Bombyx mori: one gene and its partner. The protein of the gene in region 2 purifies or fractionates together with the protein of the main gene of each other region. This does not show direct contact. Links are inferred from orthologs where the notes say so. Each region holds a gene or a part of one and is shown on either strand. Other genes may lie near its edges.

What was found.
Region 1: the proteins of NADH dehydrogenase (region 2) and LYR motif-containing protein 2 purify together in Homo sapiens (affinity purification with mass spectrometry; 3 studies listed by BioGRID and IntAct, counting the BioPlex papers as one, with this or other methods). This does not show direct contact. The link is inferred for Bombyx mori from reciprocal best matches to the Homo sapiens genes NDUFAB1 and LYRM2.

Annotation. Positions count from the first base shown.
Region 1 is NC_085129.1:2,303,772-2,307,059, forward strand, and holds LYR motif-containing protein 2, read left to right. Parts: upstream 1-1,598; 5' UTR 1,599-1,729; coding exon 1,730-1,771; intron 1,772-1,973; exon of another isoform or gene 1,974-2,005; coding exon 2,006-2,227; 3' UTR 2,228-2,787; downstream 2,788-3,288. UniProt on the Homo sapiens protein: Involved in efficient integration of the N-module into mitochondrial respiratory chain complex I.
Region 2 is NC_085114.1:14,895,666-14,898,945, forward strand, and holds NADH dehydrogenase, read right to left. Parts: upstream 1,794-3,280; 5' UTR 1,742-1,793; coding exon 1,574-1,741; intron 1,390-1,573; coding exon 1,276-1,389; intron 1,241-1,275; coding exon of another isoform or gene 1,127-1,240; intron 1,024-1,126; coding exon 844-1,023; 3' UTR 562-843; downstream 1-561. Other genes in the region: protein HID1, read left to right, coding at 2,715-2,780, 2,856-3,069. UniProt on the Homo sapiens protein: Carrier of the growing fatty acid chain in fatty acid biosynthesis.

The DNA of each region.
Region 1 (3,288 bases), on a different chromosome or scaffold from region 2:
CTGATGCAATAACCTTTTCATTAGACGCCTTCAACTCTAACACTAGGAGCAGGCTTAGGGACCCCGGTAACCGTACTCGTCGAACTCGACAAAGAGTTTGCCGTGCAACCTAACTCATGAATCAGCTCGCTGACTTTCTCGCCGGATCTTCTCAGCGGGTCGCGATTCCGATCCGGTAGTAGATTCATTCGCGAACCAGTTGCTCTTGAGTTTTTAGGTCTCCTTCGGAGGCGCTCGGGTAGCTGTTAGCAAATCCCACCCCTCCTGCCTGAGCCTTTGCTCGCCCACCTGTCCTGGTGAAACTGGAAAGGCCTACGGGCCACCAGTAATCCTTCAATATTAAAAAAAAACTCTGTTGATAGAAGAATTGAGTAACATCAATCAGTGTGCTTAGTGTGAGTTTTATAACGTTCTCAATAACGTAAAAGTTAGCAAATATTTGTATGGAATGGGATCGTTTGCGTACGTTTGCCGCTAGGGGTGCTATTGCAACTGCAAAATAGGGTTAACTTTAACGTTATCGAGAATGTTAAGAAACTCGCACTAAGCACACAGATCACCATCCGAGCTGAAAGCGAATCGTTCCCGAAATGTATTATTCCAGCGTACTGCGATTGACATTTAGTGGTGGAACGTATTTGTATTTATTTGATTCGAGTTGATACCAGTAACCTCCGTGAAAAATCAGCAACGAAGCTATAAGTCGTTCCGAAAGTTTGTTACATTCACTATACAACACTTTCGAAGGTTTTATAGACAAAGCGAAAATCTTCCACGAAACGGGTGGTATTGCTCTATAGACTGACGGTCTTAATGTTGCTGCTCGGAATTTTTATAAAGCTGCAAAGCTTATCTTGAACATTTCGTAGGCGTTAAATTTGAAGGGACTGGGTTCTGTAGGTGAGGCGCTATTTAAAAAACACTCTGCTTCATGGTTAATACAATTATATTGCAAATACTTTTTACACTATTACACCATTACATTTTATTTTTACAAACCCTTGATATTGCACTGTCCGTGTCTAGATGAGAAGTCATTGTCCTCACTGAAGAGAAGATAATCATCTGTTTTAAACATTCCAATATTCGAAAACTGTTACTTCACATGGGACAAGTGTTGCCTGCCAATACTTACATATTCAAACTCCAACAGCGAGACTCGGCCATCGATCATTAAATATCCTGTGTTCTATGATGGCTATCGCCACAACAACATTAATATACATTTCGATCCAGTCTCACAAGGCAGTGGTAGTATTAACTAATCAGCTCCGGTAATAATACGAACAAGGCTGATTTCGTTCATCAATCTAAGACAATAAAAAGTACTGAGATCATTTAATTTAATTTTGTAAGTTTTGGACAATTTAGGGGTCTTCGTATTTAAATTTTGCAGGTGCAATAATGTTGCCATATTAATCATTTATCTTCTGTGGGAGTGGACAGGCGCGGTAAAATATACCTAACCGATCTTTATTTCTTATTATTCAACACCGTGTTGTTTTGTCTCATTTTATTTAATTTAATATCTAAAAAGTCTTTATTATAAAAGTTGGATGTCTGAACGATGATTCCTTTGCCTACTGACTGGATTAATCAAATTAAAACAACGTCAAAAGCAAAATATGTAACCAAATTTTACCAAATAGATATTGATATGTAAAGTTCGGAAGAAAATTTAAATTTTAAACTTTAAAAATGATGAACTTACATAAAACGCTATACTAAAATGTCTACGAAATTGCCAAAAGCAACTTTGAATTTAAAACAGGTGGATATTTAGTTTTGCAATAGTGCAATTCGTGACTGTAATAGTCGACTGTTAAAAATCATTGAGACTACAAAATTGTGATCTATCGCTGAGCGTCAGGTGTGCTATGAGCTCGACCACCCTAATGAAAAATAAAACTAATTAATAACTGGAAGAATTAATTGACGAAAAACGACAAGAACAAACTAAAAAAAATATAATCTTCTTCATTCATAATATTTATTCCTTTTGCAGTTTCTTCTGCGTCAAGAAGTATTAAAATTATATAGAGACATATTCCGTACGATACGACTCGTGCCCGATGAACTGACCAGAATCGAACTTAAGCAATGGGCTCAATCTGACTTCAAGAACAATAAACATCATACAGATGAAACTACAATCAAAATCATGTTGCACTATGGAAAAAAAACACTAAAGGATTTGCAACATACACTTGCTTTAAGTAAAAGCTAATATAAACTACACAATTCAATAAATCAAAATATATATCATCATTTAAGATAGGCTGTTTGTAGATTTTCTGTAGTTTTACATTATAACAAGTAGTGATATTTCAATTGTGGTCATATGGGTTAAGTTACTTTTTTATATTTAAATCCATTTAGTTCATCGTAGTGGTCAAACAAGTGTTTAATGGAAGTGAGTAGTTAATTTGTAATCTTAAATATTCATTTAGAAAAAAAAGGCAGTCATCATAACATCAAAAACAATAAGTAATACATGTCAGTTCTAAATACACACTCTTCACCCTAAAGAAAGTTAAAAAACTGGACTAAATAAAAGTGCAAACAAAGTAATGACACAAATGCTACCATTATATTATAGTGATATTAAATCGATAATACCATTCAGAAACATATAAAAATTATAAACTATCACAGTACTGTATAACACTAACAGAAACATTTCATTAATTTAGACTAGATCTAACAAGACGATTATGTATATAGATAATAAATAGTATGGAAATGTTTAAATAATAAATTTAATATATGAAATTTTACAATAACCAATTAATGATTTTCTTTTTCAGTAGAAATTATAATAAAAATATTATATTAGTCGCTATGACCTAAAGAATGAGATGCCTGGTGAACTCATATCAAGTTATGCAACTGTATTGAGTCTCAAATCTCACAAGTACTAATTTTACTAGTACACACATAGTTAACACACCTTCATTTCTCAATGAATTCAGTAAAGGAATAACTTCAATTAAATATAGTTAAATCCACAAAGATTATAATATGCATAATTTATATTACAAGATGCCGTCTTGTAAGACTACATGAGAAGGTACCACTGCCCTGCCTATTTTTGCTGCAGAGCAGTAATTTATTCTGGTTTAAAGAGGGTGCAGTAATGACAATTGTCAACATGCCTGGAGGAGGTTGTCATTAATTTAGTTGTTTCATGAAACAGTATTAGTAGTCAATGTGAACACAATCAAAGGCAGGTTTTTTGAGTCACACAAAATATGTCATCCTGTGCATCTGCTATTATATGTGTAACTC
Region 2 (3,280 bases):
AAGTTGAACACCACTGCTCATCTACTCTGCAGGGCACAGAATCTATATGAAATTGTCATTTATAAGATAGTATAAAACTAATTAAGATTTGGTATTTTAATGAAAATTTTGTCTTTCAAGAGTACTAGCATGCTTAAGTTTATTGTTTGAGTGACTTCCTGAGTTCACCTGGCTTTTCTGGAAAAACAGGATCACTGCTCCAGGCATGTTAGCAATTGCCAATATTCTGGCAAGAGGAAGGCAATGTTATCAAGTATGCACTGCTGTCCTTCATGTCATGTCCCATCATAATCACCCAACATCTTTCTTCAAACAAGGTTTGAAATAAGTTCTTATTTAGTAGCTTTATGTGTGTCATTGTCAAGATCCATTAGTAATGGTAGCCACTTACCATCATATAGGACATAGCCCACCTTGAAATACAAAATACTCCAGCAGTTTTGAAAATCAATAAAAATTAATGACAAATAATAGTACAGATTTAAGGCATTTTCTCTTTTAAAAAAAAGGGACTCTCGAGTCAAATGCTTATTTAGCATGAATTATGAATGAAATAAAATGTGATCTATTTACTATTTTATTATCAGATAATGTACCACCAGATCAAATGAAATACAAATGATCTATTCTAACAGGCATATAATTAAAAACAAAACTTACACTTTTTACACAATGGTCTGAAGTGCACTGATAACGTTTGTGTAAAATTAAAACAAAAGTTGTCTAATCACTAAACAATACTTTTAGGCCAGTTGTAAATTAAGAAAATGCAATTTTGTGTTTGGTTTGTTATCGTTTCAAAAATACAACTGGTCCAAAATTATGAAGTTTATATTTTTTTTATTATTCATAAATATCTTCCTTGTCAGCAATGTATTGGACAATGTCTTTTGGTCTGACCAGTCTCTCTGCATCACCATCCGGTATCTCAAATCCAAATTCATCTTCCATTGCCATTATGACCTCAACATGGTCCAGTGAGTCAAGACCCAGATCATTCATGAAGTGGCTATCTACAGTCAACTGAAAAATAAGAGAAAAATTATTTTATATTTCTTTATCTTAGAATAAAACTTTATGCCCCACCAGTTTTGCACTGACTGTAATAAAATTTCCACAATCTAACCTGTTCAGGGTTAATTTTGTCATAAAGTTGAAGTACAAGCAGTACTCTACTTTTTATAAGGTCTAAGGTGAGGGGAGGGCCACCGCTGTACTTGCGGATACCATGTTTCTCGTTCTGAAACAAAATATTTCTAAATGAATATTATGTACCTGACTAGCACTGAGTTTGTCGTAAGCCTTGCACACTTTCAGGACTCGCTCCTCGATTTCCTGAACCGAAAGCTTAGACTGCACGCCTGTCGAGTACCGATGTGATTGTGGTACCTAAACAGTTCGAGTTATCACTGTAATTTTGTTATGCAATAATAATTGAGGTTATATTGATTTTGTTTAAAACAGACTCGAGAAATTTATAATAATATAATGTTAAGGAAATATTTCATTGTAATATAATGATCACTATACGGCCCAAAATGCATTTTATTATATCAGTAGATAAGAGTCTTACCCCATTCTGAAGGGCCTGACTTTTGTATATTTTGACAGCGGCTTTAATTGTGCTGAACTTTTGCTGCAACGCAACGGTCGAAAGACGACATGTTACGGACGTTCTATACGTTGTTGATCTCCGTAATAGACCACCGAAAGCACTTCGGAAAATATTCGCAGCAGCCATTTCTTCAAGCTCACGAAATGCTTTATTTTCTTTCAGCAATTCTCTCTCATCGAATCCGAAAGCCTGGGTTGCCAAAACCTTTAATACAACTGCAATCGATAAACTGTGTCAGCTGTCACGTATAGGTACATAAAGAGCCAAAACATTTAGCTCAGACAGGTATTTATTTTTTTCAAAACAGAGTTAATTTAATTTATTGAAGTCGTCTTGGCCTAAGGTATAAGATGCCCGCGATGCATTCAAATGCCGCAGGTAGGTACCAGTTTTTCCAACGAAATATTTACTAAACAGTTAATTATTTACGATTGACTTCTACGGTGAAGGAATAACATCGTGTAATAAGAATCAAACCCGCATTTATAATTTGCGTAATTACTGGTGGTAGGACGCCTTGTGAGTCCTCACGGGTTGATACCACCACCCTACCTCTTTCTGCCATTAAGCAGTAGGTGTCATGATCAATCGATTCCGACCGAAAAATGGATTTGTCCTACTATCCCTACTATATAGGATGTCCCTACTATATAGGTATATGTAAAGGCGTTAGAACCAGCTAGGTACATATATTAATCAATTCATTCAACTCATTTCAAACAATGAAAGACATAAATGGATCCACATTACTTGGTGTTTGATGCTCAAAAACCTAAAAGAAATTTCGAACTTATTATGAAGACTGCTACTAAATTTTACATTTTCTTAAATTTTATCGACAATTTCATAAAATAATGTAATGATGTCATTTTTGATTACTGTTGATGGCTAGTTAATGTATTGACAAAATGAACGTGTAGATTCCATAGACCTATATAGTAGTAGATTCTAACTTAATTCATAGATAAGTCATTGAATATATAAGTCATAGATCTAAGTAAATACTCTGTGCCAAAAGTGACGTTTTTTAATTTATTGTTTTGTGTGAACGTATGTTGATATGAAGTTATTGTTTTCAAATTAAATAATAAAAGACAAGATGGGTAATGCTGACACAAAATTAAACTTTCGAAAGGCGGTTGTCCAGTTAACTTCAAAGTCGCAGGTAATTGAGCACCAATTCGAAGAAAAATAATGAAATAAAAATCAGTCTAGTTTCATCGATTTATGTATTTTGCAGCCTATAGATGCGTTGGACGATAGCTTCTGGGATCAGTTCTGGTCAGAGAGCGTAACCAACGTACAAGATGTATTCGCATTGGTTCCCGGTGCGGAGATACGTGCCTTGCGCGAGGAATCTCCTAATAATTTAGCAACGCTGGTTTACAAGGCTGTGGAAAAACTCGTCAAGGTCGTGGACAGCAGCTGTAGGACGCAGAGAGAACAGCTGATCGGTGAGAAATTTACTGAACACCTTTTTTGCCCAAAAAAGTATCACAATTGTTTCGTCCACTCTCAGGTCTACATCATCAAAATGCAGCTGAAAACAATATTTCTGTCTCAAGTTCTTTCTCAAAATAACAATTAAAAAATACTATAAAAATTTTGACCAAGACCATACCATACAGATTAGTAATACAATAGTTTGTAAAGAAAAAATCACTT